Linked DNA regions of Oreochromis niloticus. The protein of the gene in region 1 interacts with the protein of each later gene in a biochemical or structural test. Links are inferred from orthologs where the notes say so. Each region holds a gene or a part of one and is shown on either strand. Other genes may lie near its edges.

Evidence for each region. The genes of interacting proteins can lie anywhere in the genome.
Region 2: the proteins of khdrbs1a (region 1) and nck1b form a complex in vitro, tested with the Homo sapiens proteins (3 studies listed by BioGRID, with this or other methods). The link is inferred for Oreochromis niloticus from reciprocal best matches to the Homo sapiens genes KHDRBS1 and NCK1.

Annotation. Positions count from the first base shown.
Region 1 is NC_031983.2:8,562,944-8,570,794, forward strand, and holds the start of khdrbs1a (KH domain-containing, RNA-binding, signal transduction-associated protein 1a), read left to right. Parts: upstream 1-4,848; 5' UTR 4,849-5,010; coding exon 5,011-5,176; intron 5,177-5,626; coding exon 5,627-5,754; intron 5,755-5,919; coding exon 5,920-6,036; intron 6,037-6,122; coding exon 6,123-6,269; intron 6,270-6,384; coding exon 6,385-6,509; intron 6,510-6,791; coding exon 6,792-7,059; intron 7,060-7,150; coding exon 7,151-7,227; intron 7,228-7,330; coding exon 7,331-7,395; intron 7,396-7,510; coding exon 7,511-7,620; 3' UTR 7,621-7,851. Other genes in the region: zbtb8os (protein archease), read left to right, coding at 1,132-1,184, 1,576-1,612, 1,732-1,818. UniProt on the Homo sapiens protein: Recruited and tyrosine phosphorylated by several receptor systems, for example the T-cell, leptin and insulin receptors. Once phosphorylated, functions as an adapter protein in signal transduction cascades by binding to SH2 and SH3 domain-containing proteins.
Region 2 is NC_031974.2:17,862,356-17,870,246, reverse strand, and holds the start of nck1b (cytoplasmic protein NCK1), read left to right. Parts: upstream 1-4,872; 5' UTR 4,873-5,145; intron 5,146-7,891. Other genes in the region: slc35g2b (solute carrier family 35 member G2b), read left to right, coding at 1,266-2,516. UniProt on the Homo sapiens protein: Adapter protein which associates with tyrosine-phosphorylated growth factor receptors, such as KDR and PDGFRB, or their cellular substrates. Maintains low levels of EIF2S1 phosphorylation by promoting its dephosphorylation by PP1.

The DNA.
Region 1 (7,851 bases):
TTTTTGCATTTTATAGCTTTTTACCGGAGCTCTCAATGTGAGGTCCAAAGAGTGGTCGATGCATGTGAAGGAAGCCATCGTAGTCTGGAAAAAAAATAAAATAAAAAAAAACCTAAAAAGGAAATGGAAAAAAACTTTAGTAAGTGGTCAAATCAACAATGTGGTGCATTCTGTAAAATAATGAATGAATCATCTGGCCAACTCAGCAACATCAAAAGCCTTGAAAGACCACAGAAGACAACTAAAGTTGATGATTGAGGAAATCTTTACTGTTAAGAAAAACCACTTCACAACACACAGACAATTCAAGAACACTGTCGAGGAGGTAAGCGTGCCGTTGTCAAGGTCTGCAATCAAAAGACAAGTTCATGAATGGAAACAGAGGATTTACAGCAAAGGGGAAACCACTGGTTACACTCAGCAACAAAGACATCAGATTAGAACATTAAAAAACAAAAAACAAAGAGCCTGCCTACAAAAGTAAGGAGACAGACTGAAACAGCTCATGATCACACAGATGCCACATCATCTGTCAAACATAGTTGAGGCAATGTTATGGCATGAGCATGTAGGACTGCCAGTTCAACTGGGCCTCTTGTTAGTACTGGTGGTGTGGCTGCTGATAGAAGCAGCAGGATGAATTCTGAGTGTACAGGGCCGTACACTCTGCTCAGACTCAGTCAGATTCTGCGCTTCACAGTGCAAATGGAGAGGTCTTTAAGGAAAAAGAAATGGGATATTCTTCAGTGGCCACATCAGTAACCGATTGAGCATGCTACAAACAAGCAGCAATTTAATTTTGTTTTAGTTTATCCAATTACATTTGAGCCTCTGACAATGGAAGACTGTGTATAAAAATATCTGTAATTCCTAATGTTGTACTTAAAATTCCTTAACATTAAAGCTGAAAATCTGCACTTAAATCAGATCTTGTATTATTTAGTTTTAAATCCAGTGTGGTGGTGAACTTACCCAAAACAACTGGTAATATTATCTTTTTTTTAAAAATATAATCAGTCTCTAAATATTATAGGCTGCAAGTAACTTTGCCTGCTGTTCCTTATTTATGTTCCAGTTATGAAGTTGCTACATTTATGATGTGCTAACAATTGTGTCATATCTTTCCATCAGGAGATCAAAGTTTTACATATTGACAGAATGCGTTTCAAGATTCGCTCCATTGGGTAAGTTTGGGGTCCTCCTCAATAACACTGAAGTTGTGTCTTAATAATTATTTTAAAAAATTATTACATACAATTCAAACCTGAGCTAATGTGGACCAACTTTGTAATTTGTTTTTAAGGCAAAGGTCAAACTTTATCTCATTCATTTTGTTGAACTATCTCAGATTATCATGAAAAGGACGTGCAAAAAAGTTCAAAGTCCTTTGGTGTCTGTTTGTAATTTTAAAATGTTCCATATTTTTCCAATATACAAAAAGATCACTGGGTTTAAACGGGTTGGGTTTGGGGAAAAAATAGTTTATCAGAGATAGAAAATTCAGTTTTACTGTCTCTCTGTATTTTTCTCTTTACTGCTACTTTCTTTGCTCTATTTTTCTTTGGTTTATGAAAGGTGGGGTGAAGAATTTTCTCTGGAAAAGCACCCACAGGTAAGCCAGAGAAAGAAGTAAAATGACACTCATTAGAAGAAATACATAAAATGAATAATTAACTCTACAAAACTACAACGCAACTGCAGTAACTTAGATGTCATTTGTTGTCCTTCTAGGGAACTGAGGTGAAAGCCATCACATATTCAGCAATGCAAATCCATGATAAAGAAAAACCAGAAATATTTGCCATCATTGATATTTGATATGACTTTGAGAAGAAGCTCACACTCACTGGTTCAATAAAAGTGGGAAGTTTAAGTGGCCTTTTAATTCAATGCACTGATTTTTTGGCTAGTACAGTCTTTTTTGGGGCATGTAAGATAAACTCTTTATTTAAATTTAAAAAAGAATTTTAAAATTAGCCTTACATTTAAATAAGACTTGTGGAGATATCAATTATTCGGAGGGAATACACTGAATTTCAACTGTGTACCTGAAGTCAAAATTACCAAATTTAAGCTCAAATTTTCATTTTAGGAGATTGTTACTCTTATTTGTGATCATTTTGAAGGTGTGTTGATGCATTATATGTCATTGTAAATAAATAAGCAAATGTTTACCTTTGACACAGAATTGAGTCACCTGTTTTTCAACTTAAAAATCTCAGTTTAAGTATTTTATGGAGGTGTTGTGATTCAATAGGACAGAGGTGAAAAAAGGTCATCATTTATCACCATATTTCAGCAAAGAATACTGAATTGGAAAAAATGTGCACAACTTATTTTGAGTTCAACACAGCAAAAGATTTGAAATGTACACTTTTGAACTGTTTAAACCTGTTGATACAAATATGAGCTGCATTAAATGTACATGAGTGTACATCATAACACAATTACTGATTTTAAGCTGTTCATTATGCAAACTCAACTCCATTTTTACACATCTATTTTAAAATCACTGGTATTTGAAAATGCATTAGGAGATTTGTAGTGCTTGACTTATCACATTAAACTTCCTATTAAGCCACATCTACTAATCCTGGCTGGACTTTTTAGCTGAGAGGCTGTCAGAAGAATGAAATAGGACCTGACCAGAATGATCAAAGCAAAGGCTGCGCAGTGAAACATCAAATGTAAGATGAGTGTATTCTACAAAACACTTCCCTGCATTAGACAGCAGGATATTCATGTCTGGGCTTGTGTCTTATTTCCAGAGAGTAACTGAACAAAGCTTTTCTAAGAAACATCCAAAGCTTGTTTTCAATAGATATCTCAGACAAAGCGGTATAATACCAGGAAGCTGCCTGTATGAATAACTGAAAGTACAGGCAGCAGTATTCTATGTATAAGAGAAATGTTTTGGTCATTGACTAAATACACATACCAGGTAAAACAGAATAAAACAGAATATAGTGTTAAAACGGGATGTTGTATACTGTAGTGCTTCAGATAACTGAGAAAGAACATTAAATTTGGTGATGTATTATGTGGAAGAATAAATGAGAATTTTATTTTTTTTTTTAAAGAGAAAAAGAAAAACAGAGTGAAAGGAACACTAAAAAAGTAAACTGTGTAAAATCATTCCTATGACAGATAAATTTACAAATATTCAAGTTCATCAACTCAAGTAAGTGAATGAGTAAATAAACAGATATTTTTATTTATTTCGTTTTATTTTTGAGCAGCTTTGACTTTTGGGTTTACAGTTTAGTGTCATACTGCAATTAATTTAACTTGCATTAAAGACTTGTTCTTGGAAATAACATGAAATAGTTTCAGATATATGGTTTGAGGTTTATATGCAGAGATGTTTTCAGGAAGTACAAGCTCATTCATTTCAGAATTGTGGGATATTGTTTGAGCATTGTTTGTAAATGGAGCTGGCCTTTGAAAAACTGTGTGGTCTGTTTTGATCATGTTCTGGAGCGATGCACTACACAGTTTGTATGTATTGAATTTCAAAACTTTGTTGTGACATTTTACAATAAATTATATCATAATCCAGACTATTGTAGATGTGGGTAAATGGTGTGTAGTGCTGTTTGCTGTCTGCTTGTGAGAACTGTCTGAACTAATTTATTATTCAAGTTTCTTTATTTTTATCTGAATACTAATTTTAAAACTCAGATTAAAGAACCCAAAGATCATTTGTGTCATGTGCTGGTTGATTTCATCAGGCTACAATTTCCTGCTTCTTGAAGGACATTCAAAGCTCTTTGGTTGTTGGGTGGCTTTTTTTTTTGTTCTGTTCTCTGATAAGATCATCCGATGCTGTTTCATTAATGTTGAGGTCTGGGCTCTGGGGAGGCCAGTCCATGACTGGTAATGTTTTTTTTTTTCTATGCTTTTACTGCATTGCCAGTGTGTTTGCGATCATTTTCACGCTGAAAAATGAAACCGTTCACAGTCAGTTTTTCAGATATTACTGCATGGTGGATCAAATTTTGACTATACTTTTCTGTGTTCATAGTTCCAACTATTTTGCCAACATCAGCAAAACCACTGGCTACAATGTAGCCACAAAGAGATGACTGTAGGCATTCAGATGACTATAGACACTCACTGTAGTTATGCTTTCTGACCTCCTCTGCAAATATTGATGATGGTCACTCAGTAAAACATTCTACCACTGTGCAGTTCTCATGTAATTTGGCATACCTCAGCCCTTTTCTCCATGTTTCCCTTCCTTGGAAATGGCTTCTTATGGCCACTCTTCCACTGAGACCAGGCTTTGAGGCTTCTCTGAACTATAGATGGATCACCTGAAGGGATAAATGCATCTCTCAGGTCCTGTGTCAGGTCTATGCTATATTCCTCCCGCTGTTTCTTAAGGACATTGCTTTCATATACCATTCATCTGCTGTAGATGGCTGTTTAGGCCTACTACCTTTTTTTTTGTCCTCTATTTTCCTCAAGGTTTTTGAGGAAAGTGGAGCACGCTCCACACCGTGCTGAGATGATTTTGCGGTAATAGCTCCTTGTTTTATCCCTGTCAACCCTGGTTTCTTTGGAATTTTCCATACAATCAATTAAAGAAATGGCGACAAATTATGTGTTTTTGCAACAGGCTGCTATTAAGAAAGAGCCTAAAGATAAAATTACAATGAATGGATCATAAGTTTGGGTAAAGTACCTTAAAAGAAATCCCCTGAAATGGATGAAAAAGCAGACATAAAACAAGGTTTGCTCTGACTTTGGCACAGTGCTGTAACAGCAGGTAATCAGGGCTCTGGAGCGTATGACAGTGACGTCACTGTCTTCTTCCGGGTTCCCTCCTCCCCCTCACTGAAATGCAGCTGCGCCATCCCTCCTTTGTCTGCTGAGGAAGAGTGCAACGACTTGCAGTGGAGAAGACGCCGGTGGGCCCTTTGCTAACTACACCGTCTTCCTTGTTGTTGCATTTTCGTTTTAAGGGGGAGAAGCTTAACGAACTGAGCGGGGCTTCGTTCGCGCGTTATGAGCCAAGCGAATGCTAATAAGAGCAACACAGAGCCTGCCGTAGAGTCAAGCCCAGCAGAGAATAAGATCAAAATGGAAGACACTAAGTACCTCCCGGAGCTCCTGGCTGAAAAGGACAGCCTGGATTCATCGTTCACGCATGCAATGAAACTCATATCTGCAGGTAATCTCGCTATTTGCTTTAACGTAAAGGCTAACACGGGCTAGTTAGCGCGAGTCGGGGCCTGTTTTTTGTTTCTTGCCCCTTAGCCGAGTCAGAGGCCTGAACAATGGCGCATTAAGCACGTGGTTGATAGCGATGTGGGTCGGGTCGTTGTCCAGTGTGTATTTGAAGCTGTGCAATTGAATCACTGGATCTCATGCGATTTTAGTCTTGTTTAGTCATCAGCTAACACCGATATTTAACGACGAACTGCTGCGATTTCGAGGCGGCGCTTTGCTAACTACAACCAAAGCTTAACCTGCCGTTTATTCTTCGGATGATGCAGGGGATCATATCCCATATCATCTAACAAAACCCCCCCGAAAAAAAACAAACCGAAAGCTTTCGTCTATTATTTGAAATGCATTTGTTCATGAATACCAGCTTTTTAATCGTGTTTAATTCCTGCAGAGATTGAGAGGATCCAGAAAGGTGAAACTAAGAAAGAGCCTGAGAAGGAAACCTACCTGGACCTGTTTGCAACCAAGAATCTGAAGCTCAAGGAGCGTGTCCTCATTCCCACCAAGCAGTACCCTAGGGTATGTCTTTTCCATTTACATAGAGCCTTAACCACCTAGGTGATTCAATCAGCTGATCTAACAGATTAGCAATTGTACTGATTTCTCACACTCTACTTAATTAGGGTTTTTTCACCTAAGAGAGCTTTCTCTGAGGTGCTCACGTGAATTATGAATTTGTTGCAGGTCAACTTTGTGGGAAAGCTTTTGGGACCTCAGGGTAGCACGATCAAGAGGCTACAAGAGGACACCGGAGCAAAGATTTCAGTTCTGGGTAAAGGTTCCATGAGGGACAAGAACAAGGTTTGTGTAGCTGTTTCCTTTGCTTCTGTCTCATTGCCCTGCATCACTACTCTGGCTATAGAGTTTTGTGCGTTCATTGTTTTTAGGAGGAAGAATTTAGAAAGGGGGGTGAAGCTAAATATGCTCACCTCGCCATGGAGCTGCATGTGTTCATCGAGGTGACGGCACCCATACCAGAAGCGTACCTCCGCATGGCTCACGCCATGGAGGAGGTGAAGAAGTTCCTTATCCCGGTATGTGTGCGGAGACACCTCTTGATACAAGAATCAAACTTTCTAACAGATATCCACTGATTCCTCAATGCTCTGCAATAATGGTATGCATGTTTGACTGTTGCCACATGAACAGGAACCTGGTGAGCACGATCCATACATGGATCCTCTGTTCCTGAATGGATCCCAGGATGGTTCGAGGGGGCGAGGTGGTCCTCTAGGAAGGGGCAGAGGTGGACCACCTGGTGCTGGAGGACCAAGGTATGCGATGGAATCTGCGACATAGTGTACTACAATACATGTTGTGTCTGGTAACACATTTGCCTGAAAAGAATGCCTTAACGGGTTGAGTGTATGTGCTTGCTGCAGATGTGCAACTAGAGTCTTGACAGATTCACACAAACTTAAAATTACAAATGTTTGTCAGCAAACTAAAATGTATGTTAGTTTTCAGTTGAAAGCTGCAGGAACACTAACATGGAGTCTGTTTTTTGCATCTGGTTTGGCAAAGTAGGTTAATGGTATTGATTTAACCCTCCACAGGGGCCGAGGAATGCCACGTGGGGCTCCTCGAGGAGCGATGCGCGGTGGGGCTCCACGCGGAGCACCGGGGCGAGGTGGCGCACCAAGAGGCGCTCCGTCTGGTCGGGGTGGACCTCCTTCTGCTCCTACTAGAGGAGGCTCTGCTCCTCGCTCCAGACCGCCTGCAGCAGGAGCTCCCAGGATGCTCCCCTCGGCAGCCTTGTCTCACCAGCAACACCAGGTTCCACCTTCAGCAACAGGGTCAAAGCCTGATGCTTATGATGATTATGTACGTCCTGAATCCTATTTGACAGCATTTTTGGCATGAATGGGAATGGTACAGATTCATGATGTTGCCTCTTTTCTTTCTTTCTATCTAGCCTGCATATGATGACTCTTATGCAGAGCCGGCATATGAGGGATATGATAGTTATTATAGCCAGCCTTCTGCACCTGCGTAAGTCAAGTTTAATTTATGTAACATGACTCTTTTAATGTTTTTTGTTTTGTTTTTAATTGGGAGTATACTGTCTTAACCCTTGTTGATGATGTCCCCTCAGGGATACAGAGTATTACGATTATGGACACGGTGAAGCTCAGGATCCATCATATGAGTCTGGTTATGGTAAGTCTTTAAATCTGATGTCTCGTTATTTTTGCTTCATTGCTTTCAGACTTTTAGCTTATGTGTTTGCACCTTTTTTTTTCTTTTTTTTTGTTGTTTCTGTGACTTCTTGTAGCTCAAGATGATTGGGACAACTCGTGGTCCAGTGCCGGGGCTGGAGGCAAAGCCCCTCCACCTAGGCAGACAAAGGGATCGTACAGAGAGCATCCTTACCCAAGATACTGAACAACTACTGGTAGAGAGTTGCAGTGGCAACTGTCTGTGATTGTAACTCACGCTTAACTTTACAAAAGTAATTTCCCTCTCGTTTCCTTTTTTTATGGTTTTATTTAAAACATTTTTCTTCTTTTTTCTTTTTTGTTAACTTAGGACATTTTGTTGGATGTATCCTAGTGCCAGAGGAGCAACATGAAAGATTTTTTTTTTCTCCCCATTGTTTATCTGTTTCAGTTGCAT
Region 2 (7,891 bases), on another chromosome or scaffold:
AGATGGAGAAATGGCAGTTGCAGATGAGCGAATGTAAGGACCAAGAAATTCGACAAAATCTTCTTTTATGACAAAAACCCGGATCCGTGCAACAGTAGGAACTATTTAAGGAACAAAAAGGTAAGGCGTTCACCGATAATATGTTTTTCTCTCTCTACACTAAGTTGGCGCTGTAATGGCTCACATAGGAGCTTGTCAAAATTCAGGTATCAAAATATACATTTAACTAGATTTCAACGAGATTGAATGACATGAAAAAATGTGGCATTTAAGATAGTCTACCAAATAATTATCGGTTTGAAAACACGTTCTTATCAAATTGTTTCGTACATCGGTGGAAAATAAATCGCTTTAATTGGTTTGGCCGGCTAAAAATATAATGTTAAGTAATGAATGTCCTGTAGGTGTTAGAAAGCATTGTTTATGCTTTAGGCTTTTTAAGCCTTTTTACCTTATATACGTGTGACTTGTGTTAATTATCAGTAATGAAGTTATATTCATCTATATTTCAAAAAGGAGGAGCAAGAGGAGGAGGAGAGACGGCAAACAAGAGTACCTATCTGCCCCCTTGTGGTTGTGATGTGCGGTGTATTGCCCAAATGAATGCTGCAGTAACAATAAATTTTAGAGTTAAAAAAAACAAAACATCAGAGGCACTACTTTATACTCATCGTATATATATATATAGGCTTTACACTTGGAAAATGATATTTTATAATTAATATTAATAATCAGTAACTGGCTATTGAAGCTAAATCCTTGTGCTGTATAAAACAAAATAGAAATGGTTCAAACTCTTCCCCTCCATTTAACCCTTTCACACACTCCTACATAGCTACAGGATTTGCTTATTTATGGTGTGCAGTTCCATTCAGCTCATAAGTGGCCCACATTCATATATCATCCCCTGGTGGATCCCTGTTATGTAATTTCATCCCCATCAGACTGCATCAGCCTCACAATGTTTGCTGCTTGGCTTATATGAGCTCACACGGGATATACACAGCCTATATACACAGAGGCAATAACACGAATGTAAATCTTGGAAGGGTAAAAGGTAACAGGGATGAGGTAATGTGAGAGATTTTTTTTGTGTCAGCACATGTGTATTTTGGATGCGTGTGAGTGCGGGGGTTTGGATACTGAGAGATAAATTATGTAAACCTCTAAACTAAGTCCAGATACTTGACTGCACTTTGGTTGCTGTTACACTGTAATGGATTTCACTTCATTTTTCAGATTGCCCCATTTGACGCCCATACAACATGGATATATCTTCATCTTCGCTTCAGTACGGATCAAAAAAGCGGGTCAAGATTCACCCCAACACAGTGACGGTGAAATATGCCACTCACTTCCCTCAGCCTGGAGATGAGGGCTATGATGATGCACCCTCTTTTGAGGACTTTGGCGCCTTCGCTGAAGCCAGTGTGGGGAAGAGACTGGTGTCAGATAGCAAAGGTGGCAGGACTTTCTTTGGAACCATGGAAACCCAACCTAAGCAGCCAAGTGTGCAAAGAGACAAGGGTGTTGAGGGGCAGCTGGCCAGCTTTGGCGAGGCGAATGTGTTGGCCTCCAGGGTAACCTGGATGGCATTGTTTGGGGCAGCAGTGGCTCATGGCTGTGTGGCATTGATTACTCGTTTAGCAGCTGACCGTTCTAAAGTTCCTTCTCTTGAGCTACTATTCATCCGCTCCGTGATCCAAGTGCTGTCCATCCTGGTGGTCTTCTACTACCACGAAGCCCCCTTTGGCCCCAAGGGCTATCGACTGCGTCTCTTCTTTTACGGTGTCTGCAACGTAATCTCAATCACCTGCGCTTACACATCCTTTGCCATAGTACCACCTAGCAATGGCACTATCATGTGGCGTGCCTCCACCACAGTCTTCAGTGCAATTCTAGCCTTCCTGCTGCTGGATGAGAGGCTGGGCTATACCGATGTGGTCACAGTGGTAGGAAGCGTGTTTGGCTTGTGCCTGGTTATGGTACCAAATGTAGCAGATGAGGAGAAGTCCAGGCTGGGGTTTTGGAAGGAGGCCTTTGGCTACACAATGACAGTGATGGCCGGCATGACTGCTGCCCTCTCCATGATCGTCTACAGGGCCATTAAGGAGCGGGTCAGCATGTGGACCGCACTCTTTACCTTCGGCTGGACGGGCACAGTTTGGGGTGCCTCCACCATGTTTATCATGCAGGAGCCCATCATTCCTCTGGATGCGGAGACCTGGGGCTATTTAATTGGGATTTGTATCTGCTCCACTGTGGCATTTCTCGGAGTCTACTATGCTCTAAATAAGTTTCATCCAGCCTTAGTGAGCACTGTGCAGCATCTGGAGATTGTGGTTGCCATGTTTCTCCAGCTCATCGTTCTGAGGATGATCCCCTCTGTCTATGACGTCATCGGGGGCCTAGTCATCATGATTAGTGTGTTTACTCTGACGGGAGTCAAGCTGTACAGGGTGAGCAGAGCCATTCGGCAGGATTACCAAGAGATCCTGGACTCACCCATCAAATGAATTTAGATGTCAGTCTAATTGTTTACAATGTTGCTTGGTTGTACAATTCAAAGAATGTCTGGGTCGTCATCTGATGATTTTGTATTGTTGTGTTGTCAAATGAGTGCCAGTTGTGTAACTAATAAAAAAAATGGTGTCTTAATATTTGTGTGGGAAATAATAAAAAAAAAAAAGGCAGATATAACATGGTGACCACTTTGCCCCAGTAGTATTGCTTTAATGTCTAATCAGTTGTGTGACTGGCCAAAATGTTGGGCATGAAAATGATCTGTTTGATTTGTGTGCTTTACCACGCTCAAAGATTTGAAATCAAATTGACCACGTGGGATCTGGTCTTGTGAATGTCAATGTAAAATCAGCAAAGATGTATCTCTGTAAATGTCAGCCCAGAGATGGGTCACGCTACATAAAAGGAATAAAATAAGAACTTTAAAAACAGCCCAACCTTTTATAAAAAACAAAAACAAAAAAACAACTGCTATTTATTTGTGTGGCTCCTAAGCTGTTGCTTTCCAAGACAGTATCATTTCTTCAAAGAAACAATTACAGATGAGCCAGCAAAGCTACAAAGTACAATATAATGTCCTTTATGTGATAGGCTGCAGGCTGTGGCATTATGTGAGATTGTTCTTATTAAATCTAAATTGAACATCACAAACAGACTCCAAATTTACTGGAGATCAAATGTGACTTTGAAAAATAAAAGATCTTGTCTATAATTCCTTATATTTTGTGCACAAACTGTTGTTTTGTTGTTCCTGTTCCCTATCACGTATGCTCTGGCCCCATCGCCTAGTTGATATTTAACACTGGCGATTATAACCCTGGATTCTGCTTCTGTTTACTGTCAGATGCATATCAAACTAATGCCCAGAGGCAGGTGCACTGTATTGAATTAGAGTCGCCTTTTGACAGCGTGAGACCATCTGCTTTTTCTGTAGTGGGTGATTCAGTGTCTCACCAGTGACGTCTCCTTTCTCTGTTGAGAAAAACCAAGCGAACTTGAACTCTACGTTTCCCCAAGGCAAAGCATCAGCGATGGAATGAAATAAGGACAAAATGAGGATGCAGAGTGGATGAAAAGAGGGGATGATGCTTGCTCACAGCTGACACAAACGCATGATTCACTGATAGCCCAGCAGGTGGCATTCAGGATCCGCTTCATTTCTTAGACTGCTAGAGCTAGGAAATTATTTTACTTCAGAAAGCCAGGAAGCTAATGTTTTGCGTATGCAGTAGAAATGAAAGCATATTGATGGAGCAAATTGATCTGAAACTGTACACAGCTGATGACAATCTATTGATTAATTAACTTTTTTGCACACAAATAGGTGATAAATGTCATGGTACAAGTATTATACCCTTTTTACAGCAACAATATAAGCAGTAAATCAAATCCGTCTGTGTAATGACAATCTACTACTATTGAATAAATACAAAATGACTAAAACAACAAGCTAGATCCATTTGCAGCGAAAATGTGGACAAAATCTTTCTCAAGCTAATAAGAAAGTGACTCAAAACACATTCCACCATGCCATATTTTATTTTAATTAGTCTAATTTATATTAAAAAGTGAAGAGAAGTATTAGGTGGGGTTTATAATCCACTATACATGCAGTATTATAGTCTTGTTTTGGGTGCAGATCACAGAATACATGTAGGGCAGGCCCATCTGTTTGAGCAGGAAACAGATTGCATCCTGCAGCGAGTTGCACAGCCTTCCAAATTACTCTGCAAGTCTCTTCACCACAGACACGTTTAATAGATGTATCATCATTTCACATGTGGAGCCCGAATGGGATTGGATGACGAGTTACTTTATGTAGATTCGTTTTTGTGTATTGCACGGTTGGTGATGACTGGGCACTTCTTTGAAATGCTTATTAATCCCGAGATAACTACAGTTGTCATATACTAAAAACACGTAGGCAGCACTTAACGTAATGCTTGCTGAAGGGCAAGCTTGCACTAAATAGTATCACCTGGTTATTTTTTTTAAAATGTATTTTATTTTAGCAAGTATACTACAGAACATCAATTTTTACTAGCCTAAATTATAGTTTGGGTCTTGTGCTAAAGTCCCTCTCACTACTTATCTTTCTTTTGGATACCAAAACATTAAACAATACGTGATGCAATAGTCAGACTCACATTCCATCTCTCTTTTCATACACAAGTCTATCAATGGTAGAGATTTGATCGATTCTTTACCCTCACAGAGAAGAAAAACATGACGAATGCTTAGGGGAAAGCAAAGCACCAGCAGCTGCAGTGGGATTAACGGACAGTGTCATTGTCCAATCACAGAGTCCAGATTCTCCCTCAGCCAATCGCGTGGCAGCAGGCGGGACCCAGAGAGCGTCTGAACTGCTTGTGTAGCTGCGGCTAGTTAGCTTAGCCGTGCTGCTGAGCGATGACATGCACTGATGCAGAAATGCTATTCCAACGGGGCACGGCGTCTCGTCAGCTAGGCTAGCTTCTTGGAGTGGGGAAAAAAAAGGGGAAAAAAAACCCTGGCTGTTTAGCTAGGATTCTGGATGCCGTTTCCGTGCATCTTCAGCTGCTGTGTGTAACCCTTTAACATATTTCCAAAAGGACATAAGAAGAGGTGGCCGTCAGGAATCAGGTAAGACGTGGTATGACTAGAGCAGGGTATGAATCTGAGCTGCCGCTGATGGTGAAGCTCTGTGATACAGACTGCTGCAATAACGGTTCTCCAGCGTTAAAGCTCACGCAAGCTAACAGCTAAACGTTAACCTAGACTGAAAAAGAAAAGGAGAGAGAGACAAAAACACCTAGTGTCCTTGCCAGCATGGTCAGCATACTGTTACCCAGCTGGCAGACGGTTAGTCTGGCTGTAACCACTAAAAGCATATGGGAGAATTTTCTTAGCCAGGTTAATGTTAGCCGTTTTAGCGTGACACGCTGTCAAGCTCAGGTTATAAGGTAAAAACTCCACCAAAACTGCTACACTTCTTTATCATCTTTATACTTCTTTTCGTTCAAGCGGGCACCACGTAAACACTTCTATTTGTAAGAATGACAATTAAATGAAGCCACAGTGATATTAAACCGTTTGATCCACTTTACAGTTTATACTTAAATGCAGCTTTATTTTTTTCTTATTATATCTTAGGATTAAGTTTTCAATTGCGTACTGAGTTGAACTCGCTTGGTCGTGGTCACGATGTGGTTCACTAGTATTGGGTTTTGCTTCAAGTAGCCATAATTAGTCATAGCCGGTCCATCACTTCAATGTTCACCCAGTGATACCCAGTTGGCTTGGTATCCCTTTATTTGGACCAGTAGTGCGCAACCTAAAGGTATTCTGTCCTAGAGATTTAAAATGCAGGAGAAATCTCCACCTTGGAGAACATACAACAATGAATTATTTTTTTCTGTTTTTATCTAAACTCAATTTGTGGATAAATATCTACCTGTATAATACGTGCAAAACGCATTTGAGCTTACATATACCTAGTTGGATCGCTTAGATCTTGTTTTGGGCAAGATTTTGGGTAATTGCACACTTTGTTTATCTCGTAACATTGTTTCTACCTTACACAACCCAAGCTAGACTAAATGTCATTCTTAGAAGCACAATGGGGCAGTTCGTCTGTATAACTCCTGGCGAGCCCTTGCGGCTTTTGTTTGTGTGGCCTTTTACAAAATTTGGTGCAACACTCAACAGATTATTCCAGCTTGAGGTTTTTGTATTGCAGGTATTTATTTGATGATTTGTGGTTAATTATATCTGAGCGATTTATGGGAGTAGCCTGCACGTCTCTGCAACCAAATACTAGCGACTGGTTAAGAATTACTCTGTAATTATTGTCACAAGTTAGTTTTCAAGGAGGTGAGAGGAGGCGGAGGAGGAAGAGAGAGGCATTTGCTCTGCTGTTGCTTTCTTCTCAGTTGGAGTCACAGAGAGGGCATCCACAGCTTGCAGGAAGAAATGGTGATGCCATTCTTATCAGCATTTCGTACTTGAAGGCTTGCATTTGATTTTCATCTTAACACATGGAAACTGCAATTAGGCAAACTATTTTAAAAATTTGCACCTGTCAGCTGCCATGTCATGAGCTTCTGTGCAGAAGTGAGGACTGTTCCTTCACTCAGATATACTCCTTGTGTACTCCTGTAATAGTCATACATCCCACACTATAATGGTGCTCTTGTTTGGATTTTATGACAGAATAATCTTATGTGTATGAAGGCGTTATCCTTTTTTTGTTTGGCTATGCCCTTTCCTCTTTTCCGAGTGTCCGGCTACCAGTGGCCTCCAGCAGCCAAATCTGTCCTCGCAGCCCAGGGTAAAATACCAACTGCGCTTTTCTCAATGGCTAAAATTTCCCTCAGAGCTCAGAAGCTAGTTTATAAAGTCACTTTTCTTTCTTTCTGTTTTTTTTTTTTTTTTTTTTTGGTTTTTTTTTTTTTTTTGGGCTTCTTATGAAGTTGAGAAATGGGGAATTTTTTTTTCTTTTTTCCGCAATTGCCTCTTTGCATGTTATCGCCCTAATCTCTGTTATTGCATACATTCTCTTCCATTTCCTCTTTCTTTTTTTTCTTTTTTTTTGTGCCCGACTGCTCATGCATGCAGATGTTTGAAGAGTAAATAACAGACGTTTTCTGTATACATTAACTGTGACAGAACATGACGGAGCAACAGCTTCTGCTTGGTGTGCCCTGGCAAAGGGCAAAAAAGGCGAGTAATGAGCAAAACACTGAAACCAAAAAAAGGGGGGAAAAAGGAGAAATTTCAGCTTAACTACTAAAGCAAAGTCGTAAGGAAGTGCCCAGTTATTGTTTCTTGTTTGGACTAAGTTTTCCAACTTTTGTAAAAGTGTACTGTCCCGGCTGTATTTGCTGTTTTGTTTTTTTTTTTCTATTTTTTTTTCTTTTTTGGGGAGTAAATGATTTGACTTCCTCGTGTCGAGTAGGAGAAGTGTGCAGTTTCAGTGTTTTTTCTCTTGGTCCATTATGGTTCAGGGTTTTCTTTCAGTGGGTTTGGCAAAGTGATAATGAGGATGTGTGTACTCATGCAACTACGACTCATTGTTGTGACAGCAGTTGTGTAGCACTGAATTACAAAAAAAAGCAATACTGTCATAATGAAAGAACTGTGCGTGTCTTTAATGATGAAAGCAGGCTTTTCAGGCACAAGCGTTTGGCAATTTCTGTGAATTTGTTAAACCAATAGTAAGTCCTGTCCACAGACCTGCATCAGTCTGCTACAGTACTCTCAGAAAGAGCAAGAAAATGATGGTTCATGGGTGATTTCTACACCCCCTGTTTTTCTTGTCATTTTCTTTTTGAACATGTTATGCAAAAAACAGTTAGACCTTCATATAGCTCAGATTTTTTCAAAATTA